6 linked regions of the Coturnix japonica genome follow. The protein of the gene in region 3 interacts with the protein of the main gene of each other region in a pairwise test. Links are inferred from orthologs where the notes say so. Each region holds a gene or a part of one and is shown on either strand. Other genes may lie near its edges.

Region 1 (5,554 bases), on a different chromosome or scaffold from region 3:
ATCCATAAGGAAAAAACTTATTACTTCAAGTTATAAATCTACTCCATTTTCTCTAAACTAAGATAATCTACAAAGTTAAAATCAAAGCAGCAATACCAGAACAAGTCAATGGCAAATAACTGGCATTAAACACCAACCAATCTTGGACTGGTCCACTACTTTTATCAGAGATGTGAAGTATACTTTCTTCTAACCATAAAGTCCAAGAAATAATTATATTGCAAGTGCAGAGAAATAGGATTATTTTTGTTGTATGCTCAAAATTGCATCTCACCTCAGTCTTTGTGGCAGTTTCAGATTACTAAGATCTGTGTACCCGTCTCCACACACAATTTTGCTTCCCCTACTGAACCCTGATACACTCACCAAGAAACCCCCAGATTTACCAAAGAAATACAGCCACACAGTTCCAATAAAACTCCAAACCTTACTGTGATTTGGCACTTTGAAGAGAGTCCCACTTTACCAATAAATTCCATTTTTTAGATTACATTTTAAACAACTACAAGTTTAAAAAAAAAAAATGGCATTTTTATCTGCAAAACTTTTGAACTAGAAGTGCTAAAGTAATAAGCAAACTTCTAGCTAACGTAAATTAAATGGACAGCAAGTGGGAACCAAACTGGAACTGTTACTCCCCAGTGACTGTTATCTCATTAACTCTTCAGTCATAACAGAAAAGGAACCGATCAAGTTCTACCTACATTTCAGAAGTCAAAAAGCTGACTTAAAGGTCAACCAAGAGAGTTGATTTTCAGTTCCAAAAATGGTTAAGAACAGTATAAAAGAGGGGAATCAGACGTCAGCACAGAAAAAACAGACCTTAAATCTAATCATCAATATTAATCTTTCTACAACAGCATTACTTTCCTAAGAACATGTCTGTCAGCCTTCCACTACCACTGAAATCTATGAGGCACACCAGGTACCTTGCATCAAAACAAGGGACAGGTAGAGTGATGGTTACACTGCCAAATGATAACACTAAAATCTCTGGAAACACAACTTGGCAGTTCTTCATTAATGGAATGTCACATTTAAGTCGCTCCTCATCTCTGCACTTAACAGCCTGACCATAAACCCTAAAACAAACAACAAAAAGAATCAAAACTTAATAACATTTGTCTCGTGCATAAAGTCCACAACAATCTTCATAAATGGGAAGAGGTTGGTGGCAACGGTGGGTTTTGTTGGGCATTTATATTTATTAGTTGGATTTCTGTTCTCATGTGAGGTTGCCTGGTTTGCTACCTGAACTCCTTATGCCCACCCATACAAATAGATGGAAAAAAAAAAAAAAAGGTGAAAAAAATAAATCACTGACTTAGAGGACATAAAAGCACAGAAAACTGCAAATGGAAAAGAAATAAGGTTAAACCAACATTCACAGAATCACAGAATTGTAGGGGTTGGAAGGATCTCTAGAGATCGAGTCCAACCCCCCACCAAAGCAGGTTCCCCTACACCAGGTCATACAAGTGGGCGTCCAAGTGGGACTTGAATATCTGCAGAGAAGGAGACTCCACGACCCCCCTGGGCAGCCTGTTCCAGTTCCATTCATCACAACAGAAGTCTAAGCAAAACTAACATCACTGATACATGCATTTTTGCCACTACTAAGCAGACGCAACAATAGTTGTTGGCAGTCGATGCAGCAGCAGCAGTTAGATTGGCATTTCTGCTCTTTACCTAAGAAAATCAGTGAAAACGATGCATCACACAAACACAGCAACTGTGATGTTACACAACACCAAACAAAGATAAGCGTGCTTAGAAAAAAAAACCATCGGGTTTTAAATTGCACACATACAACTTGCACAGTAGCACTGTAACAGAAAACTTCTAAACCACACCTTCCCCAAAAGGTTTTGTCTTCACAGAGGATTCTTCAAGACAGGAAGATAACGAGTGGTGTCAAGCCACTAAGGCTGCAAGAACAGCTGCAAACCAACAGCATGACTGCCATGTGGGGTTACACACACTGATACAGGCCTCAGAAAGAACATAGCAACAACTCAACATAATTTTACATTGTAGACAGGTGACCCACGTTGAAGGCAAGGTACAATGCTATTCTATACATGATGTGGTATCTATTCAAGGAGCTAATATAGTTTAATCCAGTTCCAAAACCAACTACACTGCAGAAAGCCACAGTGTGCAGAATAGGACAAGAATATACATGTTGGTAACAACTTGTGCATCGCAGCCTTCTGTAGGCTGGAAAACCTACCGACCCTTACATAAGCCAGGACAACTTAGGATGAATAGTGTGTGCCTTGTGCTGGATGAACTAAGATCTCAAGGACTATGACAAAGAAATAAACTCAACAAGTCCACAGTGACTCTTAGTCCTGTGCCACTTAAAGCTTTTAACGGCAGACTTGGTAAAGTTTTAATGGCAGATGAGGGAAGGACAAAGGGACACAAACCCGGCACCTATGGAGGTTTGAGGTGCAATATTCTGTGCTGATTCTTCTCAGATCAACACTTTTACCTAAACAGCACTGCTGGGCTTCAGGGAGGAGCTGATTCAGGATGGGATTCAGGATGGGTTCTGTGCTTCCCAAGAAGGGCAGGCCAGATAAACACAGCCCTGCCTTCCTGAGCCTTCTGAGGCCCTTTGCTCCCAAACCAACGTCAGGGAACACAAAATATGAAGAGACCGCACTAAAACAACAACGGCACATTGTTTGTGTACCCCCCACGCCACTAACCTTGATGGAAGGCTGCTAAAGCTGGTGCATCGAGCCCTAAAAGTAACTAACGCAAAACAAAGAAACCTACTCCCACCGTGACATCCCACCCCAACCCCACCTGGCGCTGCCTCCTCACATGAGGCACAACCCCAGCCGGGTACCCAGCGCAGGCAGCTAACAAAGGAATAACGCTCCCACCCGCTTAAGGACGCAGTACCTCACGCTGACCCCCTGGATCACGTTTGCCACTAAACGAAAACGACACAAGCGCATCAAAAAGGAGATGCGGAGTTGAAGGTACGGGCAGGCCGCACACAAAGCCGCGCCGCCCCACCGCCCCCAGCACAACCCGGCCCCTCCTTCTCCTCCCCGCCGCCATCCGCCTCCCCCACTCTCCAGGCCGAGCTGGGCCCAGTCCCACGCTGCAGCGCGCCCGGGCCTCGCCGCTCCCATCCATCCATCCATCCCTTCGTGCCGCCCCGCACGGCGGAGGCTCCATCCCGCGGGGAGCGGCCTGGGCCCAGAACGAGCAGCCGATCACGGGAGCGGCGCTGATCCCCCCCATCCTCCCGCCCGCCGCGGGCCGCGCTGCCTCGTACCCGTCAGAGCGCTTCTTGCTGGAGCTGTAATCGTCGCCCAGATCTAAGCGGTGGCGCTTGGACATGGCGGGGGCCGCTGGGTGCAGCGGGGCCGGGTTCAAGGGAACGCGCTTTGCGCTTCAAGAGCAGCAGCGACGGCAGCGGCGCCGCGAGGCCAGGAGCAGCCACTAAAATGGCGGCCGGAAGGAAGCGACGGGGCTGAGCGAGCCGCTGCCGCGCATGGGAGTGAGCGCCGCCCCGCCCCGCGCCTCACAACGGCTGCGGCCCACAGCGCTGTGGGGGCGGGCGGGAGCGGATGGCAAAGGTGCTTTCCACAGTCCGTTCTGCTCCCCAGCACAGGAGTATTTCCACGGTGGAAGTTAAAAGCAGAATGATGTTGGCACGTCGTTTTTGTGGGCCGTTGCTGACGCCCATGTGTGTAGAAAAACGCGACCTTTCACAAGTCATCTGAAGCAGAAGTGAGAAAATCGGTGACGTTCATTCAAATACATGACACTCATGTATTTGGGATTGCTAGTGCAAGGGAAGCCCGTGTTCCTAACGCCAGCAGGCACGGCTGCCACTATTACATCAAAGTTCGTTAGATTTGAACACAAACTAGTATTTCATAACAACTGCTGAAGTGCAATGAGACACATGAGCTAAAAATGCCATTTTCTCAATACAGTTATCAGGTCTTTCTTGTGTACTGATGCATTTCACATTTCCAGCCAGTACCAGCAGCAATCTATGGCTCAAACTGGATCCAGCAAACCTGCCTTTTGGGTTGTCTCTGTGTCCTGAACTGTGTTCCTCATCTCCATCCTCCCCCAGCGCCTTCTAGGAACTGGGTTAACCATCCATGCAAGCTGTGTTTGTTCCCTGACTGTAAGCAGAGATGAGGCTGAGCAGGAGAAGACAAAATCAGGCAATTAAGATGTCCCTAAATGAGATGTCCTAAGTGAATCGTTTGTAATGTTAATCATTTCACCACTGATATGAGCACTATTATTTCTAGGCAGACCCCCGTGCTCTCACAACTAGATCCTTCAGCTGTTTCTCCTCTCATCCATCATTAAGTCTTAGCAGCTGCCTTGCTTTCCAAAACAGTCACTTGATAATACAGCATAGCTCATAAAAGTCAATCTCTGAGAGCTTCTCGAAAGGCAAGAAGGATGTTTCTTGATACTTATCTACTGTTGGACATTCTCTTCTCTGTTCCTCCCTGCTTTCCCAGTATATTTCATGTTCTCTCAGTGCTGCAGTAGTGGTTTAAATTAATGTCTCAGATAAGACAGGTTAATATTATGGCAGTACATTTCATTCCTATCTCTTCATCTAGGTGCACCTGACAAAAAATACATTGTTTTCCAAGTCATCCTCCCTGCCTGTTCTCACTGCCTTTCTGCCAGAGATTACCAAAACCTTCACCTAGCTACTTGGAGGAGTGGTCACTCCCCAGCACTTTGGTCAAAGGAATTAGGTTAGATCAGATGTTTTGAATAAGAATTTGTTGTTAACTTGTGTAACTCTGAGGGCAAGAGAGTATTCTCACAACTGGCTCAGCTAGCAAATCTGAAAATGGTCAGAAAAAATCACTTAGCAGCAAGTGACCTGTTCCACGGGCACAGCCAGCTCAGGAAGTAGGTGTTTACCCACACCCTCATGTTCTTCCAGAGTTACATCAGTGTAACTGCTATAACATTCCACAAAGACAAACCATCAGTGTATATTTAGTAGAAGAGCATTTTTTATTTTAAACGATACAACAAAACGACACCCTCAGCTCAAGTTCTAGGCACTACTACAATAAAGAATACCATTTTTTTCTGCTTGAAGTGATAACTGAAATAAACATTCCAGAAATTCTGGACTTTGAGCTTTTCATGCAAAACTGGAAGTAATTTTCCAAGTTATATTACAAAAAAACTCTGGAAAAATCTGTGTCACAGTTTGCCAGGGGTTAAATGTTACGGGTTTCTCTCTACATGCCAAATATCAAGCTTATTTTCTCCAAGGCAGCGTACAAAGCACTACATTCCCAGAGGGTAGCTACACAAAGCTCTTTAAATGACAACTGTATTAAGCAAAAGCTTAAGAATACTGGAAATAGGGGAGACGTTGAGCTGATTAGAGAAGGGAGACAAAAAATAAAACAATAAGGGGGCTGGATCTCCCTGGAAAGTGGGAAAAATAGAAGAATGTAAAAGCATTACATGCATCAGCTGTGAAGGGTAACACCTGAGATTCTTAGAAGGCAGAGGCTGTTCAACAACA
Region 2 (4,839 bases), on a different chromosome or scaffold from region 3:
AGGTTCCCTTGGGCTACAGCAGGGAGCCAATGAGTTTGTACAGAGGGCTGCCAAAGTCAGCCTGAACAATACAAATCTATGAAGCCAGTGAAATACTCTCATAGATGTAGTGTTTAACAACGAGATACGGCCCAGGGTTCTATAAGTTACCTTCTCAAAATCTTCCTTGTTTTTTGGTGGGGGTAACATTGGAGCATTGGGATTCTTCAACCTCTCCCTAGGCTGGGCATTAAAAGGCAGACCTGATGGAGGAGGCGGGAGGGTATGCTCCATCATTGAAGGTGGAATGTATATTGGGTGTGGTGGTATAGGCACAGCTTTGCCCCAGCCTAGCTTCATTTCAAAGGACATAATCATCTTGCCTGCAAAAGATAAAAACACAGTTGTTAGGAACTGATTCTGCACTGAACCAAATTCTCCTGTGTAAGTGCAATAGTTAGGCTTCCCTGCCATGGTTTATTTTCTGCTGAAGTTGTTGATTAACTCCTACATACTGTAATTTACTTAGCAGTGGTTGTAGAAGAGTACAAGCAGTCTGCATAAGCTAGAAAACAACATCCTTTCATTTTCTATTAATTTTGTCCAAGATGTAGATTTTGGATTTTTGACTCTTCCTTACCTATGAGGACATAGCTTTCCTTAACACTTAAGATACTTTTTCCCTTCCCCCCTCACCCCCCTCAACTGAAGATAGACAAAATAGCCCATACAGGTGGTATACTAAGTTACCTCTTTAGTACTAGAAATTAGAAAAGAAAAAGGACCTAATTATCATCAGTTACTAAGAACTATTTCCTGTATGCTAGTCATATTTATTCTCAAAATGCACTGCAGATAATTATGACCCCTAACTGAAAAATCTGTTTACCATTTAAATTCTTTAAAGCTCTTTCAGCATCTCTCCTGTTCATAAATGCAACAAAGCCACAGTTTCTTTCTCTTGCTCTTTCTTCATCAGTTCTTGGCCACATAATTTTAACACTCGCTAGTGGTCCAAAGCGCCCGAATTCTTGACATAACATCTCTTCATTCATCTAAATGAAACAGAAGTAAAAATTAGCCTCCTGCAGCAGTAGTTCTAAGATATTTGTTCATATTACTATACAAATGTGGAGATTTTGATTTCATGGAGAACACTTAATCAATTCCTCATCAATTAAATCTGCTATAAAACAATAATAGAGAGGCTGAATTCTAAATTAAGCACAATCAAATTTCTGAGATAACTCCTCTCAGAAGGAACATCCATAGAAAAATTATTTCTGTTCAGCATTTTTACATCCAGTAAGTGATATTTTTAACCTTAACTATTTCAGCATCACATTCAGCATATCTGTTTCCAAATGAATACTGCTTCTACAGTTGCTAACTCTACTTTATACATGTGTATTAAAATATGCTACTGAAAAAAGCTACTGCCAGAATTTCAGCTGGGCCCAAACACGCTAATACTGCACTTCACCGGATAGCTCCAAACTTACTTGAGGATTAATGTTTCCCAGGTACAAATTTGTTGTGCTTGGATCCCCAACATCATGTGACCCTGGTGCATAATCATCCAGTACTAGAGTAATGGAGAAGAAAATAAAAGTTACAACCCTTACTATGCATTTAAGTGGCATTACATTGAATGAGAAAAGAATCTATATTACCACCAGATGATCTGTTTCTTCTTGAAGGCGCATCCACTGAATAAATAAATAAAAAAATACGTATTTAGTCAAGAAATGTTTTGTAGATTGAACAAACGTAAAGGCAACATCAACTCACTTGAACGACGCTGACCATCTGAATCCGACTGGGGGGGCTCAAAACGGCTCAATCTACCTTTTGTTTTATGTCTTTCATCACGCTCTTCTTGTATCCTACAAAACAAGTTGAAAGTAAGCAACAACCTTAACATTTTAATGTGTCTACTTTGAAGTATCATTTTTTGCAATAGGAGAATCTTTAGCGCTTATTGAACAATGGACTTGTTAAAAAAAAATGTGAAATTGCCAGTATGCTTTCATTTTAGTTGAATCAGGTGGGGTAGAACCACCAGAATAATTCCAGCTGCATTCCTCATTCATACTGTCAGGTTATTTTTACCTCAAAAAAAGAAAAAGTTTGAGAAGCAGTTTCCAAGACTAGAAATAAAAACTGTGCTCTGACAGAGTGACCTGAATTGCATATTGGACAGAGATCCATTAACTTTTCCAGATGCACACAACTCTCAGCATCGTTCTACTTTTTGTAGTTATTATTCACATAGCTGTTACCTTGCAGGGTAACATCTGAACATCCCCAGTACACACAAGACCCTCTATTTATACCTCTGATGAAAGCCCACACACAAGTAACTACTATTTGGTATCTCTCTGCCTTCCAATTTTTGGTTCATTAACAGAAGAGGCTGGGAGTAGAGAGAGACTTTGGGGAAGAGCTTCGCAAGAAAAAGGAAGGGAACCAGGCAAGGGGGGAGGGAAGTGTCATGATTAACTCTTCAAATTGTGAAATTCACATTAACTAAACCAAAAATAATCTTCAAGTAGCTCTAGAAACATAACAGCAATACATTTATTCTGGTCTCTGATATATACTGTTTCTTTTTGTTGTGAGTTTTGGGGTTTGTTTGTTTGTTTTTAGTCTTTAACTGCTCTGGATATTCTTCTGGTTAGGGAAGCAGTACAAAACCTCAAAGGTCAGACAAACACTTCTGGCATGGAAAGAAATCCACTCATGTTGACCAGCATACTTCAGTGCTTGTTCACCGATCATTTTTAAAGTCTCCGATTCCAAAATAGAAATACTTTTCAGCAGTAGTGGTAAACTCTTCTTAGTACCAATCAGCACAGTGAAAGACAGGAGCATCAAGGACACCAGAATGCTGATTAGATGGGATTATCCACCCAAACCACGTGGACCTGTACCAAGCATCTACCAACAAAACTTCACGCTCCATTTAAAAGTCTGATTGCCAATGCTAACAAAAGGGGCTGGGAGCAGAGAGACTTTGGGGAAGAGCTTAGCAAGAAAGATTCAAAATACTGCCTATAGAAACAAAGTAGATGTACTATGTGTCTTATTTACAGTAACAATCAAGGAAACTTACTGCTTTAATTCTTCTTTAAAAAGTTCCAGATTGCTCTTTTTCTTTTCCTTCTCTCCTTTCTTCAAAGGCTAAAATTAAAGAAATATCAGCCAACATTTGAGCAGGTGCAATGACACACACAAAAAAAATGGAAATGGTATGTACGTAACAGAAATTTAGATAATTTCCATGCATTTTTACCCTCAGCTTTCAAACCAAGTAAACTACAGGAGAAAAATAAAAGAAAACAGACTTGAAAACATTAAAAATGACTGCTACCAAACACAGCTATCAAATGTAAAATTAAGGATAGCTTGAACTAAACTTTACTACTTCTGATGACTACAGTACAGCGTACGTGATCCAACACTTTCTCTACAACACACAAATTTAAGATACCTGTGGTGTGTTTTGTCAGTTTGGTCCACTTTAAAATGTATGACAAAACCGCTAACTGCCCTAACAAACCTTCACGCTCCAATTAAATTGATACGTGTGCACTTGTTTTTTGAGAATACACACACATATATACACACAAATATACAGTAATAATTCACATGTGTATATATGTATATTCAAATATTTTATCCACAGGCAAACATTCTACTTGAAAGGAATTGCCATCCCTTATTTCCCTTCAGATACAAATACAAGTCTGAAGAGTCTGAAGAGTTACTGTAAATAAAAGAACCTCAGAAAAATGACTGAATGACAAAGAAAATGGATTTTATTTATTTTTTTTAACTGCACTTTATGCACCTTAACTAACTCACGTGAATCCTTCTACAACATCGCTTTTAAATAACCAAATTTAAATGAAAACGTTTCCAATAGGCAGACATACAAAATATTTGTGTTACACACTACAGCTTTGGAAAAACTGGACTTCCTACTCACCCCAGGCAAAGTTGTTTGTTTTTGTTTGTTTTTGGGGAGTGTCTGCCAAATAAATAAAATCATTTTTACCTCATTATCTTCAATCACCATTGGACAGGGCAAGTGAGTAAACTGATTGCATTATCTGATAAGTATTTATGACAAATTTGAAAAGCAGCAATATTCTTACAGTACAAATACTTGCATATGACAACAGAGCTCCAAGTGGTTAAAAAAACAAACATAATTCATTCCTGGTACTGTAGAGCTTTACATATGATGAAAATCAGCACTGCCATCCAGCATCATCTCACTATTCAAGGTTTGAGGTTTGCTTAAAGCTGGAGGAAAGTTAGGATGGGATTATTCACAATTACCACCTTCTACCTCATTTCCCATCCTGGTAGGCAGTATCACATTGTTTTAAGCTAAGTTAAAAAATTGTAGTAAGCACTTTTAAAGACTTCCAAGACATTGAATACAGATTGCACATATACAATAGTCATACATAACTATCACCTGACTTGAGAACTAAGGCTGTTCATAAAAATTCCAGTAATTATTATAACAAAAATCTGAGTTTAAGAATCAGAAAGTGCATCCAACCATGCAATGGTCAAAATAAATTAAACAAAAACCATGCTGTTCAGTTTCAGAAACTCTCAAGCTCTAAAATGTATTCATTTAGTAGAACTTAAAGAGCTGGAGGGAACTGTTCTAATATTACCACCCAAAACAAACAACTGTCCTTTAAAAATGACCCAAGAAGAATTTGGATCAATGCAAAGGCGTTGTCTTGTTTGGTTGGTTTGTGTGGGTTTCATTTCTTGTTTTTGGGGTGGTTTTGTTTGTTTGTTAGTTTTTGGGTTTTTTTTGTTTTTTGTTTTTTT
Region 3 (4,839 bases):
ACCTGTCTTCAACATCACTTTTTTTACACCACAAATGAGTAACTGGGCACGGTTACAACAGAGCAGCCTGTTAAACCACATCTCCAGCTATACAGAAAGAATCCTTTGTAACAGAGACAGGAAACAGTAATATTACAGGTTCCCCACAACCTCCCTGAGGTCAACAAACAACCAGAACAGGCCACTGGGCAAGAAAGAACCACATGGAAAGAACAGCAGGATGACCTCACTGAATAGAATGCTGAGTGAGAATTAAGCAATATTACTGCTTTCAGAGGACAGGATTTTGGTGTACTTACGTTCTTTGTCCTTCTCAACCAGAGAAGTGGGTGGTGCAATTGCAGCTCCTCCCATACCTGTGAGTAAAACAGAAAAGAGCATGTTTGTGTGACTAGGTTCTGCTGCTTGGAATAGCCGCACTGAGGTTTAACACAGCTGCTGGCTCCAAAAGCAGCAGCAAGAGAGTGAGCAATCTGAATGAAAAGCCCACCAAAGAAGATTATACTGCAATCATGTACCACATGTTGTTTCTAGAGTCAACATATTGCATAGAATTGCAAAGTTTAAGGCTACAAGGGAAGCAAACCTTCAGTTCTAAAACAGTTCAATTAAGCCAATACTCCGCTCAAGCTTAACTACACTTACACAGGAGTACAGTACAAAGCCCCCTCCCCATTTTAATATGCAGCATTTTAAGGTAGTCACCAATTTGGTAAAGCACCAATAGTGAAAGCTCAATGGTGATTCTCATGGCTTCATTTTATCCCATGCTTCCCTTTTCTCCTGGAATCCACACCAGGCATAAAGTTAAAATAGGTACTGACAAACCAGTGGAAAGCCACAAATAATCAAGATGACAGCTTCCACCATAGGAAAAAATACTGTATTAAAAAAGCTACAATGTAATAAAACAATGGGTTTATTCTAGAGGCTCCAATGTTAACAGTATGCTTCCCAGCTGAGAAAAGAGAAACACAAAATACATCAAACCAGGACAGTGACCATATCGTCATTGTCCCTGTGTTTCTTCCTCCTACTAATAAATAGCTCCCTTACTTCTTTTTCTTCTCTCTCTTTCGTAATCTTCATCTTCATCAGAATCTGGATCCGGTCTTCTCGAAAACCCACTGGCTTCATGCCTGTCTTTACGTCTTCTAGGAGACACAGCAAGTCAGGATAAGAAACAATCCAAGTCAGCTCCGCTTTAACTCATGACACTACCTTTGCCATGCGAATTACATGGCATTTGGCCAGTTGAATTAGCAATTTATCATGTGCTTTCTATGAAAATGTAAGTAAACACCCTTACTTCTAGTGTTTTTTTTTGTTGTTGTTGTTTGCTTTTATCCTATTTTTAAACAGGAAATGAATTCAAATCATTTTCCATTTGCAAACCAATCGAAAACAAAGTATGGAAATGAGGAAGCCTATGAATAAATCTAGCCCAAACTGATGACACTGAATGAAAGACTACATCAGGAAGGTAGCAGAACTGTTAATTAATCATCCTGCATTGAACAGATTCCCATTAAAATTCCCCACCAAAGGCTATCTGAAGCAATGATTAATCAGTCAGTTTTAAAAGAAAACAGTCTTCATGCTTAAACAGCGTAATTCCACAGACTTCATGTGTCTGTACAATGAAACTGCTTACCAGTTTCACTTAGAATAACCAACTGTAATCTTGTTGCCTGGCAGATGTTTTACCACCTATTTCAATAGGATGCTAAATCTGCATTCAAGACCTTTAATAAGATTAAAGGGATTTCTTATTCCATGGAAAAAGCACCAAAGTACTTAAAAATTAATATTCTTTTGTCCAGAGACAAGAGAGATAAATACATAATGTGCTTAAACTGAAGGCAAAACATGAATCATAGAATTACCCAGGTTGGAAAAGACCTTGAAGATCATCAAGTCCAACCGCAGCCTAACTAGTACCCTAACTCTAAAAACCCTCCACTAAATCATATCCCCGAGCACCACATCCAAATGGCTCTTAAACNAAGATCATCAAGTCCAACCACAGCCTAACCAGTACCCTAACTCTAAACACCCTCCACTAAATCATATCCCTGAGCACCACATCCAAACGGCTCTTAAACACAACCAGGGATGGCGATTCAACCACCTCCCTGGGGAGCCTATTCCAGTACCTAACTACCCTTTCTGTAAAGAAGTTCTTCCTAGTATCCAACCTAAACTTGCCCTGGTGCAACATGAGGCCATTTCCCCACTAGTGAGAAGAGACCTGCCCCGCTCTCACTGTAAGAACTTTTCAGGTACTGGAAGGAAGGAAGTAATAGGCAACTATGCTTCATAAAGGCAGTGCTCACTATGCTTTAAAACTGAAATGAATTCACAGGCCAGTGTGAAGTATGTAAAAAGGGAGAATATTTATCTTTGAATGCTGATAAGCATTTCTAATGTCAAACTACATTGACAACAAACACTCTAAAATAATATTATTTGCTAAACCCAAAGAAATTCCCTGTATCTCTTCAGGGGGATAAAACCAAAGAGATGTATATTTAACAGCCTATTATTTACCTCACTGCCAATATGCCACACTTAAAACAAAAGCCTTACTTTTCTCTCTCTTCAATTTCCTTTTGCCTCTCCAGCTCACGCTGCCTCTGTCGTTCCTCTCTTTGCCGCTTCACCACTTTTTCATAATCATTTGGAAACATAGGATCATACTCATCTGCCAAAGGAATCAATACATCTCCTGCAGAAAAACCACTAGGTACGGGATCCTTGAAAGAGAAAAAGGAGAACAGTGATGTTTGTCAGCTAAGATTATAGAATCATAGTCCTGGGCAACGTGTTTGGTGTATCCCTGCTTGAATAGTGCTGTTGGACCAGACGACCTCCAAAGGTTCCACAACAGTATCACTGTGATGATTATTCCTATCATTATACACTGGTGCATTGCATCTACCTTTGTTATTTACCCGACCATTTTGCAAAGTATTTTGAAGCTGTCCAGCTTTTAACTCATCAGGATGCTTCCAAGTTGTATCACATGGAAGTGTGTAAAAAGCTGAAATGCTCATTAATTTAAGAACCTCTGAGCTGAGGTTCCAATTCTGGAAAACAAATCAGTTCTTTTAGCACTTGGAAAGACCATTTAAAAATCAAGTAGAGATGGCTGTCAAAGTATTCCAATTCAGAAACATCTGTTAACAGATGGAGCCTGTTTTGTTCTTACCTTTAACCCAGCTGCTACATGAGGCGGTGTGTCCACGATCTGTCTCTCATCAGAAGAACTACCTCGTTTCAGGTCAATCACTGGAGCAAGTACTGTTGTTTGTTTGGTTCTCTGACTCTGAAAAACAGCCAAAATATAAAGTATCTAAAATAGCACACTTTCCTCTTTTTAAGGAAGAGAGATCAGACTTTGTTTGTGCATGCACTGAAACACACAGCGATAGGTGAATGCTCTGCGCTTGGATGCAAAGCACACATTAAAAGCACAGGGGATCTCTTCAGGTTGAACTTAGAAGATTTTTTCCTAAGAAGGGTCTTCAACCTGCTCTAAAGACATGTTTTACCATCTAGCAAAATATTATTGATCCATTTTTCAAACTTATTATATTCTTCTATTACTGTTATTCTATTCCATAGAATCAATGACCTGGGTTGAAAAGGACCCACAATGATCATCCAGTTTCAACTCCCCTGCTATGTGCAGGGTCACCAACTACCAGACCTGGGTTCCCAGAGCCACATCCAGCCTGGCCTTCAATGCCTCCAGGGATGGGGCATCCACAACCTCCTTGGGCAACCAGATGAAGCTGCCCAGAGCCACATCCAGCCTGGGTATTTGCACACATACAGACAAAGAAAAGGCCTAACACAGCAGCCATCTCCAATTTCATTCATGCACGTTGCTCCAACCAACAGCAAAAAACCCTGCTGTCAATTTTAGCAGTGTAAATCAGCACCAATTCCAATGAATAAATGCCATGTCTCAGTAATCATCTGTAGCAGTATCTAAGTAATCTCACTCTAGACCTTATGGATCATAAAGAATGTACACACATCCTGAAAGAATCAAAACAGAATAACAGTACTGTGTAAAGGCACGAGGTGAAATATTGTCACAATAAATAGAGCAGAAAATGGCTATTATAGCTTAAGCTCAAGGAATTGCACTACTTTTACCTTCCATGTACACACGGTTTCTCTAAGTATTCCTAATGCACAATGATTTGTACTCTGGCACCTAAGGCCCTTTAAACAGAAAGCATAAAATGATGCAGATGTATAAGACCAACCTGGCCTTGAACACCTCCAAGGACGGGGCATCCACAACCTCCCTGGGCAGCCTGTTCCAGGGCCTCACCACTCTCCTAGTGAAGAACTTCCCCCTAACATCCAACCTAAATCTTCCCTCTTTTAACTTAAAACCATTTCCCCGTGTCCTGCTATTATCAGCCCTTTCGAAGAGTTTACTCCCCTCCTGGGAGTAAGTTCCCTTCAGGTCATTGAAGGCGGCATGAGGTCACCCGCACCGTCATCCTTCTCCAGGCTTGGAACAAGCCAACTCCCTCAGCACTGTCCTCCATAGGGGAGGTCGCTCAGCCTGATCATCGTCTTGGGCCCGTCCCTCTAAACCCTATTCCAATTCTTTGGAAAGATTCTTTGTTCAAGACTTCCAAGAACGGAGCTGAAGACCATCTTGTGCCCCCATCTGTTTTGTGAGGCCCTTTGCTACAAACCCAAGCAGACCAAACCCGACAGGAATCACGCATCCGTTATTACAAGGTCATGAACTCTCAATGATCTGAGCATGAAAGAACCTTTAATAACAGGAAGCAAGTGAGGAGTCTATAC
Region 4 (5,379 bases), about 100 Mb from region 3:
GCCCCTACCACAAGCCACATCACAAAGGCTGTCTTAACCTCTGAGTGTGAAGGTTTAGCACAGCTGCAGCTGGTTGTCTTCTCCATTACCACCACCTCCCTTGGTTTTCTGTGATGCCTTCAGAGTCTACTTCAGGGGCATTCATTTAGAAAATAAACAACGCCAGACTGTGCTGGCAGAAGATGATGAGGAAGATATGAGAAACACTTCTAAATTGCTTGAAAATGTGTCTGGGCCGTCTACATTCCTAATTACAGCACTTAATTAGTAAGCTTGTTGCATTCAGCCATGCTGCTTTGATAGCTCCATTGTTCTGCAGGAGCAGGGCTGGACACTGAAACAGTTCTGTCCTACATATCTAATGAGCTGTTAGTTTGAAACTAAAGACATACTTAATCTGCTCTACCAGGAATCAGCCTCTGCGTGGAGGCTGTGGAGATGTCACAGAAAGACAGAATGACCTGGGTTGGAAGGGACCTCAAGGATCATGTAGTTCCAACCCCCCTGCCTGGCAGGGCCACTAAACATACACCTTTACTAGATCAGGTTGCCCAGGGCCCCGTCCAACCTGGTCTTGAACACCTCCAAGGACGGGGCATCCACAACCTCCCTGGGCAGCCTGTTCCAGGGCCTAACCACTCTTCTAGTGAAGAACTTCCCCCTAACATCCAACCTAATGTCCAGCCATTGCAGAACATCACCCCTTTGCTTGTGAAAGTGCTTGTGTGACGCAAGTGGCATCACCCAAATAAAAGGCAACACATGAGAATTAAGAGTCAGACTACGGCCATTGAGTGAAAACTATTTATTTTATAAAAGGAAATAAAACAAACCCTACCAGTGTGTACATTGTACACATTTGAATGCCACTTACAAGAATGAAGTTTCCATATACAAAGATTACAAGTTCACACTGGTAAAAGGATGGATACAAGCACGTATTCAACTTGAGATGCCTCCGCTCCAGCTGACGGTACCAATTACTCTATGACCATGGTTGCACAGTACTACCATCCACTCTATTTTATTCCACTACCAACACAGAAAGCAAGAAGGGGTTTATTCAGAGAGCGCGTATATTCATTGCAAGAGTTTAGTTGCTGGAATCTTCTCTCACTACTCTTCCGTTGCCATCTTCAACAGATACTCCTTGTCGATTTTGAAGAGCCTCCAGCCCTCTTCAGTGGACAGATCGGAGGCGCCCCTTCTCTTGTAGAACCTGATGGAGGGCTCGTTCCACTCTGCCACTAGGAAGTGCATGCTGCTGCAGCGGCACTTGACAGCAACCTGCAGGAACGCAAACACAGGTCAGCGGGTCTGATGCTAAGCAGCACCAGCTGCAGATTGCTCCGAGTCATGATGTTCACTTTATCTCTCAGTTCAGCCTCTAGGCAGTGGTTAAGGCTGCCTGGAGCTCTGTCATTTCTCTTTTAGTAACTCATCAATGCTAATCCTGTGTAGTGCTCAAGGAGAAACTTGATTGCAGCTAACAGAAAATCAAGACTACTGCTCCATCATGCATCCCCAGTGCTGTTCATTTAGACTTAACACTCAGACATACCTGACTCAGATTCTTCAGGATTTCTGATCCAATGCCAAGTCCTGAGGGAAAAAGCAACAAAAATATACAGTTTAAGGAAAAAACAGCAAGACAATTTCAATTTTAAAGTAGCTCTGTAGGAAGCAGCTTGTCTGATTCCATAGTACTTACCTCTGTATTCAGCCATCACATAGAAATCTTCAAGATACAACAGCTTCCCAATCCATGGATCGTAAGTGAAGTAATACATAGCAAAGCCCACGATGCTGTGCCCTGAAACAAAGCACGCAGCTTTAGCTGGTCTGAAGCTACCGATTTGCATTAAGTCTTACATGCATATTTAAATATACAGATAGTGACATGCAGCCGTTTGCTATAAGGTTAGAATAAGAATGAAGCACAACTGGAAACGTCAGTATAAACTGGCATCAACCTAACGGAAGACTGCCCTCTTCACACCCTGAAACGCTCAAGAGCAATGTTATAATAAGCAGTGAACAAAAAGGCTTTATTTCTACTAATACATACCCTACTGATTTATCAGCACTTCCCTTCTGGAATACAAAGCAATACAGAGCAGTCCAAGGCCTAGGTAACCGCCCCAACACTGCCTTGCTTGGCAACCCCGACAAGCTACAAAGCTCTACAGAAGGTTCATCTTCCAATGTATTGCTCAGTAGAGAGAAGACATGCTCAAAGACAACTGGTACATTCTGATACATTTCTGATACGCTGACATATGTGCACACTGATTGTATTGTGCTGTTTTGAATTCAGCACCAACAAATCAAGCTACATAGAACTGCAGCTTCAAGTACAGCTGCACCACTCAACAGGGAAGAGAAACCAGCTCTTCCTGCAATAACATATTCAAATCTAAGCCTTGAAAATCGCAATGTCTACCATCATACTCTGCACATACTCTAAAGGAAGCGTGCAATAACTTCTGATCTACTGTGTCTTTGGTAAAGGTTTGGGAATAGCACTTGTCCCTGTAGACCTTACCTCATATTATGATCATCTACTTTATTGTGTAACGGATCTTTTAGTTACCTCCCCGCCCATCCATGTACACAGAAGGGCCATGTACATGGCGAAGCTAGAGACTGTAACCTGAAGATTGGGGACAAATTAAAGAAAACATGTGATTCAACAGGATTACATAAGGTTAAGTTAGGGTCAAACAAGAAAAGCCATTTAATTACTTGGCATTAAGTACATTGTTACACCTGATCATCCAGCATCTCCGAGGTTAGCAACTACTTCACAACAGCACGGCTCTACGTTATCGCCATTTTTAAGCTTAGCCTGTTCCTCCTGCCCCGACTCCTCGCTGGAACCTCAAGTCAGGTAGGTCACAATAAGCACAAGGCATCTCTTATGTAAAAAGAACAAACGAGCGGCGCAATATCTCACCTTCAGCCGACCACTGCTCTTTGGGCACCTCCGCAACGAGGCAGTGGTAGAACGGGTGCTCACCGAATCCATCCTCCAGCAGCTCTACGAGAGCAAAACAAACGGGACCCTTCAGATGCGGGCGGCGGCACCGAGCCGCAGCAGGGCGGGCAGTCGCTGCAAGCCTACCTTTCTCGGTTAGCACCACTTGATCCTCCATGTCCTCGTACTTGGCTAGTTCCTGGAACGGCACAACACGTCAGCCGCCTCCCCCGGGCCCATCACCCCTCCTCCCTCCTTCCCTCCCCCCCTCGGCCTTGCGCAACGCCCTGTTTGCGCCTTCCCCGGGTTCGGCCGCCTTTCCTTCTCTCCCCCCCCCCCATCCCATCCCACCCCCCCCCACCCCATCCCTCTTGGCCTAACGTTGGCGTCCCGCACCTTGATCAGTCGCAGCAGGTCTGAGCAGTCCTCGGGACGCGCGGCGCGGATACTGAACGAAGCCATTTTCGACGGCGTTTCCCCCTGCGGCCCCCTCGGCTGACGAGTCCCCGGTGTGTGAACAGGAGGAGCAGCTGTTTCTTCATTCGTGTCCCGGGCGCGGCGGCCACCTGCGGTCAGTCAGGCTGCGAGCATGTCCCGGCGGCGCTCGGCAAGCAGACGGCTCCCACCCGACAACAACCCCGATCCAACGCCAACTGCGCCGGCTGCGCATCCTCCGCCTCCATTTATAGATGACCGCGCTCCGCCTCTCCCCGCACGACAGCCAATGGGAGTGCCCGCAGCTCTCGCCCCCAGCCAATGGTAGCGCCCCTCCCCGGAATCTTGCCTCGCCCTGCCAGCAACAGCTGCCGCCGGTGTCTCGTGACTGCCGGCCGCCATGGCGCCCTCTGGCGGAGGCGGGAGGCGCAGCAGGACAGGCCCCCCCTGCTGTATGTGAGGCTCGGGGCGGCTGTGCCACTCACACCGTTTTCCAGTGCACACCATGGCTTAAGAAGTTCACAGAATTGTAGGGGTTGGAAGGGACCTCTAGAGATCATTGAGTCCAACCCCCCTGCCAGAGCAGGCTCCCTACACCACGTCACACAGGTAGGCGTCCAGGCGGGTCTTGAATATCTCCAGAAAAGGAGACTCCACCACCTCCATGGGCAGCCTGTTCCAGTGCTCCGTCACCCTCACTGTAAACAAATTATTTCTCACATTCATGTGGAACTTCCTATGCTGAAGTTTCACCTTCATTTAGACACAGGGACCAGTATGGAACATGATACTGCCCAAGGATTGGATGGAGAAGTGTATTCTGGTGTCCAGGTTTGGTCAAGAAAACCATCTGGCACATGCTTAGAGCCCTGGAAGGCTCTAACATCTTAAATTCACCCTAAATCCAGTTTAGCCTCCATTAGAACAAATATGGAGCTGTCCAGAGAACAGATGCATATAAAAACCAGGAAGTGGCAGTCACAAAATCACATAATCACAGAACTGTAGGGGTTGGAAGGGAACTCTGGAGATCATGGAGTCCAACCCTATAGCAGGTTGCACAGGAAGGCATCCACAGGGGCCTTGAATCTCTCCAGAGAACAAACTCCACAGGCTCTCTGAGCAGCCAGTCCCAGGGCTCTATCATCCTCACAGTGACGAAGTGAACTTCTTTACAGTGAGGGTGACGGAGCACTGGAACAGGCTGCCCAGGGAGGTGGTGGAGTCTCCTTCTCTGGAGATATTCAAGACCCGCCTGGATGCCTACCTGTGTGACGTGGTGTAGGGAGCCTGCTTTGGCAGGGGGGTTGGACTCGATGATCTCTAGAGGTCCCTTCCAACCCCTACAATTCTGTGATTCTGTGATCTTCCTCATGTTAGTACAGAACTCTTTGAGTTCCAGCTGCATTGCCCCTTGTTCTATTGCTGCTCACTACCAAAAAGAGTTTGCCCCATCAACATGACTCTCACACTTTAGGTATTTATAAACAGTTATGAGATCCCCTCTCAGCCTTCTCAGCTACCAAAACCAGGTCCAGCCTAACTACAATGCATTTCATCAATAGACATCGTTTCAGCTCCTAGATGTAATCTCTCTGGGATCAGCAATGGGGAACACTGTCTCTATCAAAAAGAGTACGTGAATTGTCTCAGCTGTTTCTTATTTCACAATGAGGAAGTCACGCTATTAGAAAATGCTGTTATGTAAGAGCAGAAAGTGGCTGATTTCTTTCACTTTCAAGTCAGAAGAGTCTGTGATTTTAGAAGTTAGAACCAATTGGAGTTAGATTTCAAACTCACAATGCACAAGAATAAAATACCTGGAGAACTCCTAGCCTCAAAAGAATCTTTTATGAGCCAATAAGAAGCACAGAATAAATCAGCCCATCAACCTTCCTTCCCCCCATAAGAAAACCCCACTCATACTTAAGATATCTCAGAGCTTGTGATGTAATTCTTTACTTATA
Region 5 (4,839 bases), on a different chromosome or scaffold from region 3:
GTTCAAGGCTGGTTTGCAAGAGGAAGAAAGTAGGAAGTTTTAAGATGCGCGGTGCGAAACAAAACCAACCATCCCAAGAGTTTGTTACCAGAGTTAAGTTAGTGACTTTGGGAGCCTCAGAAGGAAGTTGGCAGGTTACAGTCGTGACTGATGGATGAGGGGTCGGGGGTACAGGACAAGGGCTCAAGGAATTTGCCATAAGTCACAGAGTCCCTTCCCCCCAACCTGCACCAGGCCCAGCTGAAGAGCCAGCGCCACTCAGCTGTGCTCCAAGCACACCAAGTAACAGAGGGAAGAGCAGGAATGATGCTGAGTTCCATCTGATGCAATCCCTCTTTCCTGCCATCTTTACAGCAGATCACTGTTCTGACCAAGGGTGCTGAGCAGCAGTATGGGCACGTACAAGTCAGTTTAGTCCTTGCAGGCTCATAGAAAATCTCCGTAAATAAGAATTGGTGCTACTTAAACCACCATGATTTTGACCTCGTCATTCTCATCAGCACGATAGAAGAATGGAATGCAGGGGTTTTCCAGCAAGGAGCCCGACCTCTCCTGAGGGTTCTGGATTTCTCTGAGGAGCTGCATTATTTGCTTTGCTGTAGGGTCCTCTTGGCTTGGCTGAGCAGCTTTAGTGTCAATAGGGTAGAAACTGGATTGATGAAGAGCAGCAGCGTCTTGCTCTGCTTCGTCTGCTAAATTCACTTCTCGTAACCCTGTGAGGAACACAGAAGACAGGCAGGTAACTCCTCCCATCCACACACAGAGACTTTGGGTTATTCCATTTGATATAACTTGTTCTGCCTCCAGCTTACCTTCTCCATCTGTAGCGTTCAGTTCAATGCGCCTCTCCACTGGCAGTGCGTTTTCATTCTGGCTTGCTAACAGCTCTGGGTTTTGAGCAGCTGCTACATACTTGCTGTACCATTCATTTCTTTCCTTGACCAGACGCATCACTAAATCCTGCAGTTCCAGTAATTTTACCTGCACCAAAGCAAAGGAAAACTTAAGCAGCGTGCATATCCAGCTTGCTGTTTTGCCACTGTTAAAACTTCAAAATTAAAGCCAGCTCAAGAACAACAAAGGAAGGTTTACATTGTGCAGGTATCCCCCAGGCCTGCCTATAAGTGTATGCTGTGTCTGTAGTACTACAGAAGAGATTCCTTGCCTTCATCTCCTCCTTATCCTGAGCCAGCCTGCTGATGTACTCCTCTTTCTCCTGGTGCCGCTGTTTAAGGATAGCCCTTTGACTCTGGTATAATGCTATATATTCCCCTGGAACACAAGAGAAGCATAAGGAATAAGTGAGATTGATGTACAAGCCATACTGTGAGCATAAACCTATGCTGCCTGAAGATCCAGCTGTGGATTGGAAGCCTAGCATAGCTAGGTAGCAAGACTTGAACCATTCGGCATGTGGCAGACTCAGATCCCAAAGCCCAGGTTTGTGTTGTGTTGTATAAACGTACCAATGGTGTCTGTTTCCCCAGACAGCTGTATGCAGCGATGTTCCAGCTCTTCCAGCCGTTCCTTCAGATCAGCTTTCTCCTGTATCAGATCTGTGAAACGGGCCTGGACACAAAAATTGGTGTGAGTCACCTCAGCTGCTCACATATGGGAATACCCGTGTTAAAGACAGCACCCTCCATTCACAGCTGTCTGAGCCCAGGGAACAAATTGTGCTGCCTTTACAACTACTCTGATTTGGCAGTAAAAAGGAACAGAGCTACAGAAGGCAGAGCAAAGCATCTCTGCATATTGGGAAGCAGAAGGACTGAGGGAACAAAGTGCCTTCTCATTGCTGGGCCAGCACAACTGTGGTCACACTTAGTCTGCAGATCTTGGAGAGATCTGCTTCGTCTCAGCACGGTGAAGTCTGTCTATTTTTCATCTACTTCTTTAGGAAGAGACCAGGAATGGGCATTAGGCCCTTACAGTCTTTGGGCAGGGCAGGGGAAGCTCAGCTATGATGAGACAAGTCATGAGGAAAGCCACTTCTTAGGAATTAGGTTATTATCATGGAACAGCTGCTACTTATTCCCCTGCAACACGTGTGTGATTCAAGAGTCTGGCACTGGGTGCAAATTGAGCTAAGTGAGGCAGAGGGGCAGAAAGAGGAGACCCTTTGCTTACCTGTAGTTTCTCCATGGCAGTTTTTAAAGCCTCATGAACCTCTACTGGAACACTACCCATAGTGGAATCTGGAAAGGACATTTGTAGTTGACAGTGCCTGCTTAAGCATGATTCGTTCACAAAACCCATAGGACTGTTTCACAGAGGTCAGGGCCAGGTTGGGGCACATCTCCATACTCACACTGTACCCAAGATTTACCTTCACTCAGTGTGATGTTACGCTGCTGCTCCTGCCGAAGAGCTGCTATTTGCTGCAGGAGGTTTCTGCACTGCTGCTTCTGAGCAGCCAACTGTTGCCTCATCTCTTCTCGTTCCTTCTCCACTTGGGACATGGCAGACGTCAAGAAAGTCACCTGAAGTGAATTGCAAAGGACTCACGTTAGTGATTGTCCTGTGTGAAGTGTGATCAATTGTGCATCTCATGGTAAGGGGAATAACAGAAATTAACCCCATTTTACTTATGGATAGGAAACCCGTCAGACCAACCCAGGCAGCAACTACTGCGTGTCTTGTCAAGTAGCACAAACCGTTTCTTCTCTGCAGGTGAAACCTGAATTCCCACTGTTTGATCACAGTATTTTCCGCTTACAAAAACAAATTAGTGACGTTCAACACCACTTCCTAATTGCCTTCCAAAGTGAGGAGAACATCAATCATCACAATAGTTAGAGCCACTCTGCCAGCTGGCTTGTCTTTGTAATTAACCATTGCTGGACTTCCAGCTTGTTTTTCAACCATACTGTAGAAATCCTCTTGGTTCTTTTGCTGCTGTGTGAAGGGGACTGTAGCAGTTCTCTGTGCCTCAACTGCGGGGAGCACAGCTGGTAAACAACTTAATACACACTGCAGAACCTCTGCAATTCAATCTGCCTCCTCTCCTAGACATTTGTTCACAACTGAGAACAAAGGCTTTTCTACCCATTGAGACCCACCATTTCTTCATGGCTTTCAAACTTCTCTGGGATCACAAACGAAGGGTTTTTCACTTCTTCAGCCATCACTTCACTTTCAATTCCATCTCCTGGAAAGGAAGGGAGGTGAACAATGAGGTGAAAATACCCCTCAGAGCCCAGTTCCACCTCCCGTCCCTGGAGGGCAGCTGCAGCTACGCACCTTCTAGTCTGTGCAGCATCCTGCCATCCAGCTCTGCTGCTAACTGACTGATCTGGGCCTGCAGCTCTTTGTTTTCTTTTGCTACAACTTCCAGACTTTCCTGCAAGTCAGAAGCAGAACGTCAGTGAGAAAAGCTCCTCACCGAAACCCGCACAAACCAAACTGAAAACAGTCACTAGCAACAGCACCACAGAAACAAGCACACAAATAGCCACAATTATCACTTGTCTCTAATTCACCTCTATTGCACAGGATGTGGTGCAATTAAGCATTTTGCCTCCAGTCTTTCCACTTGCCCCTCTTTTATTACCTTCGTCTGCTGCAGTTCCTTCAGGTGCATTTCCACTGTCACCTTCCCCTGAACTTCCTCATGCTGCAGCCTGTCCATTAGCTGTGTCTGAAGCAAGTATTGCTTTTGCAGCTCCTCCTTCTCAGCAGCCAGTTGCTGGTATGCCACAGTGTACTGCTGTAAGTGGCCATAGAACTGATCCCGCTGCTCCTGCAGAGCCCGAGCCTCCTGTGTTTTCAGTTCCAGCTAACAACACATGATACAACACATGAAACAACCATCAGATCAAATCATTTCTGCCAGAAAAAGATGACAACTCGTGTGGCACCATCCAAACTGTCAATGCTGCCCCAAAGCCACCACCGAGGCCGGCAGCCACCATCTGTCCCCACATGCTGGTCCCCCGCATCAGACAGCAGGTGACACGGGAGGGCTCCCAGCTTGATCATTAACAATACCAATTTCCATCTTTCCATCAAAGTTTGGTAAGTTGCCAGCTCTCCTGTGCACAAACTGTTGCACACCTGCCCTGCTGTCCCTCTGCTGTTGCTTACCGTCTCTTTGAGCTCCCCCAGGTTCTCCTGCAGCTGCCCAATCTTCTTAGCCAGCTCCTTCTTTACGTGTTGCTCTGACTGCAGGGCACTTGTAACCTCCATGTTTTCATTTGTCTGCAAGAATCAAAAGCATCATAGAAGGAAACTGCCCCAATCACCATAAGTATTTGCTCACATAAGCTAAATCAGTAAACCACATTAATTCCTGATACAGTGGGATACCATCCCTTGTGTTGTTCTGAGCTGTAAATAAGGGCAGTAATTGACTTTTTAAAAGGCTGAGGAGATGGGAGAAGAGCAGTGGGGGGGATCAGTGCTGGGACAGTGCCAAGAAGAGGCCTGGCACATCACACAGCCTGTCAGATCCAAAGCAGATGGGTGACATGAACACCCCAAATAAAGCAACAGATCTTCAAAACCAAGAAGACAAGTTCAGAAAGACCTGAGAAAAAAAAAAACAACCCAGTGACCAGATCGTGTGTTATGTGCCAGGACCCCAAAGGGGAAACTGGTACATTGAAAGAAGCAAGAGTAAGAATTCAGCTTCAGGAATTTCAGATCCATCAAAGAGACGTACCAATTTGACAAACCCATTCTGCAGCTCAGCCAGCTGCTCCTTCAGCTCCCGATTCTGGCTCAGTGCCCTGCTGATGGTGGCCTTGTCACTCTGCATGCTCTCCAGGATCTGCTGTCTGTCCACAGACTCTTCATTGTAGCGCTGTACTGTCTTCTCAAGCTCCAGCAGCCGCTCCT
Region 6 (4,839 bases), on a different chromosome or scaffold from region 3:
GTTGATGGGGAAGAAAAGGTGCAAAGCATCAGCTGAGCCACTTTAGTGGGAAAAGCTGAGCATTGAGCTTAGATGTGCTTAGCTTTTCCTTGAGTGACTCCTGGAGGAAACCTTGCTGAGTCAGCAACTGAGTGAGCAGCATTATTGGTTCTGTCACACACGCCTGAGAACTTGTCAGAGCAGAATGACTGACAGGTAGGAGAACTGTCTCTCTGTCCAGCTCTGGGCTCTATGGGAACTTCTGTTTGCTAATTTCTACGGAGTTGTTGTATTTAGCAAGTGAACACTGCTATCATCTGCTTTGTATCACTGAAAACTGGTACATGTTTTAAGTAGTAATTCCAGCAAGTTGCCTCACATTCCCTTACCTGTGGTGTTCATTCTTGTTCACGTGGGCCTGGTCAAACGTGCTATCTGTGAACCTCTCCATGTAAACAAAAGCTCAGTGTGTTTGGACTGCTGTCACGTAACAGCAGAGAGTGGTTAGAGATCACTGTAGCGCTTGCTGGTATTGGTGGGAGCTGGGCTTGGACTTGGCAGTGCGGTTACGCCACTGACAGCCTTGGACTTGCTCCCGTCTTCACACGGTTGTTGCAGTCTCCTGTTCAATCAAAAACCTCTGTCCTGGTTCCGCTTGGTTAAATCACTGTGAACTGTTGCTAAGGGTTCTGCTTTTCATACTTCTATTAAGTACTGCAGTCAATATGTGCATACAGTGATGTTGTCCCTTTTTCTACCTCTCCGCTGGTAATAACACATCTCCTCTCCTAGTCTGAATGCTGTGCTGTTTCATGTCTTTTCACAGCCATCTCAGCAGCTGGTGGTGTTAGAGCTCAAATCCATTTACCCTGTATCGGGACTAATGAGTACCTTAGAAACAAGCAGTATGCTCACTGCAGACAGAAACAATTTGTGGGTTTAAACAAGTTAAGTCAATAAGAGAAGAACGCTGCCAGTGTGTACCCTGGAGCTTTCTAATGTTCTCAGGTGTAGTCATCTTTTTTTTTCCTCCTTGCACTCACTCTCCCAAATCATCTGACTGCCGCTGTCCCTCTGCTGTCTTTAAATGTTTCTCGTTAATCTTTTCCTATATTAAAAAGGTAACAGGAACCGATGCTGCTGTTGGCTGCTTAATTTCCAGTGCTCTGCTTCTCCGTGTGCGTAGTTCTGTTTGAGGAATCTCTTGATTCCAGTGCTCTCCTTTCACTTGCTGTGTTCAGATCGATAGGTCTCTACTAGTTTTAATAGCAGAGGGCTGAATGCTGCGTCTGCTGCTCTTCTGTTCCGCTTCCTATTAGCTGTTTAGAGTAGAGCTGCATGGCCTGGCAGAACACCCTGCCTGGTTCTCCCACCTCCATGGCTGTGAAGCAGGGCCATGTGTATTGATTTCTGAACTTCTCTCGCTAGCGTTGCATGCTGCAAACGAATGAGATCTGTGATTTGATTTATTCTGTGATGAGACTCGCCTGGTCTGGGTGAGATATAATTCTGGAAGGTGTTACATGGCAGTGAGCTCTTTGAAATAGGTGTCATGATTGTACCTGGTGGCATTCTGACTTCCCTGAACTGCTGAGGGTTAATTTGTAGCGCTGCAAGGTGCCTTACAAAGCTAAAGCATCTGTCTCAGGGCATCTGGCCCTACATGTTTGCTGGATTTCATATGGTGCTCAGTATCAGAAGTTAGTCACTGGAGCTGGGAATATCCTTGCACCAGAGGAGCGCCGTAGTTAAGAGTTTTCACTTTCTCTTTCCTTAAGGAACCCTCAGGACCTTGCAATATGAATAATTCTCTGGAGAACACCATTTCCTTTGAAGAATACATCCGTGTGAAGGCACGAACGATCCCCCAGCACAGGATGAAGGAGTTCCTGGACTCCCTGGCTTCCAAGGGGCCGGAAGCTCTGCAGGAGTTTCAGCAGACAGCCACCACCACGATGGTGTACCAGCAGGGAGGCAACTGCATTTACACGGACAGCACAGAGGTGGCCGGGTCTTTGCTTGAACTTGCTTGCCCTGTGACAACCAGTGTCCAGCAGCAAACTCAGCAAGAGCAGCAGATACAGGTTCAGCAACCCCAGCAAGTCCAGGTAAGCATCTTAAATCATCTTTGGAGGTATATATGACTTGTTAACCTGCAGAATAGTGCTCAGAGCCAGCTACTGGCTAACCTGAAACCAGAGGCAGGCGCTTAAGAAGCAGGACCATTCAGCTTCATACAGAACAGTGTTTCCCTCTTGTTTAAGGAATTTGGTAGTAAATTTGTCTTGCTGAGCCTCCATTGAGCCCCGCTGTAGGAGGAGTAACATACATAGCAATGTAGTGGTGTAACCTATTTGAGAAATGGTTGACAGTTTTGGCATGTACACAGCTCCCCGAAGCCTTGCACTCTGTGAAGCAGCTATAAATACCCTTCCTCCTCTGCTGGTCTTGCTTTTTCTTGTTGTTTAGAGTGGCTGTGGGATCTCACTCTTTTTGCTTTTATTTTTTTGCTTATTTTTTTATGAAATCAGTACTCTTCCAATAATTTTACTTGAATGTTGTGGAAGCTGTAGTTCTCGAGCTGGCTTTTAAAGGTGGAGAGAAATGCACAGAAGTTGACGTAAGTTGTGAACCATAGGAAGATGCTTTTCGTGAAAGGTGTTCTAAAAGGAGCGTATATGTCATGGAAGTTGGCTTTTTTGCACAGTTGTAGGATTCTTCTGCAGCTCTTTTATCGGGTATTAAAATAATTTGTATTAATTATTAAATGAGAAAAATCAGACATCAAGAAAAATATGTAACTTTGAGGACCAGCTGCCTGGGTCCTCAAACACTCCTTAAAGAGCTCATAGGTGGTGGGGCGTTACCAAGGTTCTCTTAAGGTGCATCTCCAAATGGCTGAACTCTGGCTGTGGCTGTGATTTTGATACGCTTCAGATGGGAAGCTTTCTGACTTGTGCAGCCTGCATCTAAGGTTGTGAGCTTTCTTCTTTTGCAACAGATGAGGGTACCATTGCTGCGGTACAGACCTGTGCTAACATCTCACTTGTGCGCTCTTATCCTACCGTAAAGACAAACTTTCCTCTTTCATTGGGTAACTTGTCTCCAATTACTCTTTCTGTTGAGTAACTGAATGCTCAGCTAGGACTTCTGTAACCCATTGCCCTACAGTAACTTGTGACACAAGGCTTTTGAAGAATAAAAGCCTCTAGTCTCACAGATAGATGCCTTAGATCTCTGTGTGAGTCTATTAGAAGTGGTCAGGGGTGGCACTGGTTCTGTCTACTGTCACGTTTTGGGGGAGAAGTTTCATTTTTCAGTTCAGCAGAAGAATTCGTAGAAGGACTAGGGCTTTTTCAGTGCCTCAGCCTTGAAGATGTTAAAGGCCTCATACCAATCATAAAGTTGACAAGGAATATGTATGAATGCATGTGTTTCCTACTGCTGCCTCCTTCTGGAACTCTTCAGAGTTCAGGCTTGACCCTTGCAAGCCTCCTAGTAACAGAGATAGGGAGGGAGGTCAAATATCACGCGCTCCTGACCTTCTTGAAAATAACTATAGAGTTGCTGCCAGTTATGTTCCTGTTTTGTAAACCAAATGGCCTGCACCTTATGGAGAATGGAAAAAAAATCTTAACAAAAGTCAAGCTCTCAAAAAGCTTTTGTAAAATACATTGTGTACTTTTCTCCTTTGCCTTTGATGCAACTCTGCTTTAGTATACCTGCTTTCACATCTGTCAGTACAGACAGTAGTGTTTGTTTTGCCTTCTGTGCTTTGTGTTGGGGCTCTGGGGGTGACAGTGTTCCACCACAGCAGTGTGTTCTGATTCCTCTGTCTCACTTTGCTGTTTTATGATAATCTTTGGTCATCTTCTGAGATCTTAATCAAACTTAAATAATCCCAGTTCTTGACTTGATAATCCTTTTTAATTCTTGCTAATCCAATTGCAAATCAGTGAAGACCCTCTGAATGACTGCGCTTCTATCTGGCAGCGTGGCGGTGTTGCTGAAGGTGACTAATAATATCACAGGTCAGATGACCTCATGGCTGCAAGTGCTGATGACAGCCCTATGATCATAAGGATAGACAGTGCTCAGGTTTCATCCTCTGTCTTCATTGCTGAAGACAAAGACAGTGCATGACTGCTGCTGTTTTCATTTGTCCTGGCAAAATATGCTTTGAAGGAGAAATTGCCACTGTAGGGTTTTCTTGCCTAAAAGATCCAACAAACTGTTGCCTAACGTTTATTTCCAAGTAGATGGGACTGTTCCGTTAAGTTATATAGAAGTTGGTGCTACGGTGCAAGTGCCCTGGAGCTCCTTTCATGCTCAGTATCACAGTTAGGTGTTATGTCTTAATAAATGGTTTAGCATGTCAAGTTGTCAGACCCTGTGTAGTGTCAGGGGCTGCTCACTTGCAGTTGAGTAAGAGTTTTATCAGCTTAGATTCTGCTAGCTGATTTTTGGCCATTGAAGCTGCAGAACTGGTGACACCAGCAAGAAGAAATGTTAACACTGACTTCCTTAGAGAACACAGTATTTGTGCAGTAGTGAGCCCCTTCCTCCTTTCACTTCTCGTATTTACCTGCAGGATGTAGCTGGAAAGACATCAGTGAAGAGTCATTGTCTTGCAGGGTGAATTCAGTGCATGTAGGGAAGTTCATCTGTTCTAACCTGTCTTAGGACAGTCTGATTGCAAGGTTGCAGGAGCTCCTTGTGCTGGGGAAGAGGTGAGGATGGTACAGGTGAGCTAGGTTGCTGAACTAGATAGAGAATGATTAAATGACTGCGTAAACTGTGAAGGCTTGAGCCCTTCTAATTCCCCAGTTCTTTATGTGCTCATTTCTTTCTGCTTTATCC

Evidence for each region.
Region 1: the proteins of RBM17 (region 3) and DHX15 interact in binary tests that used the Homo sapiens proteins (3 or more experiments, as listed by UniProt). The link is inferred for Coturnix japonica from reciprocal best matches to the Homo sapiens genes RBM17 and DHX15.
Region 2: the proteins of RBM17 (region 3) and U2SURP interact in binary tests that used the Homo sapiens proteins (3 or more experiments, as listed by UniProt). The link is inferred for Coturnix japonica from reciprocal best matches to the Homo sapiens genes RBM17 and U2SURP.
Region 4: the proteins of RBM17 (region 3) and SAT1 interact in binary tests that used the Homo sapiens proteins (3 or more experiments, as listed by UniProt). The two-hybrid records come from large-scale screens. The link is inferred for Coturnix japonica from reciprocal best matches to the Homo sapiens genes RBM17 and SAT1.
Region 5: the proteins of RBM17 (region 3) and GOLGA2 interact in binary tests that used the Homo sapiens proteins (3 or more experiments, as listed by UniProt). The two-hybrid records come from large-scale screens. The link is inferred for Coturnix japonica from reciprocal best matches to the Homo sapiens genes RBM17 and GOLGA2.
Region 6: the proteins of RBM17 (region 3) and QRICH1 interact in binary tests that used the Homo sapiens proteins (3 or more experiments, as listed by UniProt). The two-hybrid records come from large-scale screens. The link is inferred for Coturnix japonica from reciprocal best matches to the Homo sapiens genes RBM17 and QRICH1.

What each region holds. Positions count from the first base shown.
Region 1 is NC_029519.1:66,707,777-66,713,330, reverse strand, and holds the start of DHX15 (pre-mRNA-splicing factor ATP-dependent RNA helicase DHX15), read right to left. Parts: upstream 3,488-5,554; 5' UTR 3,364-3,487; coding exon 3,299-3,363; intron 1-3,298.
Region 2 is NC_029524.1:9,009,976-9,014,814, reverse strand, and holds part of U2SURP (U2 snRNP-associated SURP motif-containing protein), read right to left. Parts: intron 3,163-4,839; coding exon 3,095-3,162; intron 1,866-3,094; coding exon 1,771-1,865; intron 1,689-1,770; coding exon 1,653-1,688; intron 1,565-1,652; coding exon 1,482-1,564; intron 1,035-1,481; coding exon 869-1,034; intron 363-868; coding exon 151-362; intron 1-150.
Region 3 is NC_029516.1:3,121,855-3,126,693, reverse strand, and holds part of RBM17 (splicing factor 45), read right to left. Parts: intron 3,329-4,839; coding exon 3,212-3,328; intron 2,757-3,211; coding exon 2,590-2,756; intron 1,155-2,589; coding exon 1,057-1,154; intron 357-1,056; coding exon 300-356; intron 1-299. UniProt on the Homo sapiens protein: Splice factor that binds to the single-stranded 3'AG at the exon/intron border and promotes its utilization in the second catalytic step. Involved in the regulation of alternative splicing and the utilization of cryptic splice sites.
Region 4 is NC_029516.1:107,414,399-107,419,777, reverse strand, and holds SAT1 (diamine acetyltransferase 1), read right to left. Parts: upstream 3,654-5,379; 5' UTR 3,440-3,653; coding exon 3,374-3,439; intron 3,177-3,373; coding exon 2,957-3,176; intron 1,814-2,956; coding exon 1,712-1,813; intron 1,603-1,711; coding exon 1,562-1,602; intron 1,288-1,561; coding exon 1,117-1,287; 3' UTR 791-1,116; downstream 1-790. UniProt on the Homo sapiens protein: Enzyme which catalyzes the acetylation of polyamines. Substrate specificity: norspermidine = spermidine >> spermine > N(1)-acetylspermine. This highly regulated enzyme allows a fine attenuation of the intracellular concentration of polyamines.
Region 5 is NC_029532.1:3,749,784-3,754,622, reverse strand, and holds part of GOLGA2 (golgin subfamily A member 2), read right to left. Parts: coding exon 4,664-4,839; intron 4,201-4,663; coding exon 4,087-4,200; intron 3,779-4,086; coding exon 3,554-3,778; intron 3,344-3,553; coding exon 3,244-3,343; intron 3,152-3,243; coding exon 3,063-3,151; intron 2,484-3,062; coding exon 2,330-2,483; intron 2,199-2,329; coding exon 2,131-2,198; intron 1,570-2,130; coding exon 1,467-1,569; intron 1,273-1,466; coding exon 1,166-1,272; intron 982-1,165; coding exon 813-981; intron 714-812; coding exon 463-713; 3' UTR 1-462. UniProt on the Homo sapiens protein: Peripheral membrane component of the cis-Golgi stack that acts as a membrane skeleton that maintains the structure of the Golgi apparatus, and as a vesicle thether that facilitates vesicle fusion to the Golgi membrane.
Region 6 is NC_029527.1:9,125,525-9,130,363, forward strand, and holds part of QRICH1 (glutamine-rich protein 1), read left to right. Parts: intron 1-1,757; coding exon 1,758-2,087; intron 2,088-4,839. UniProt on the Homo sapiens protein: Transcriptional regulator that acts as a mediator of the integrated stress response (ISR) through transcriptional control of protein homeostasis under conditions of ER stress.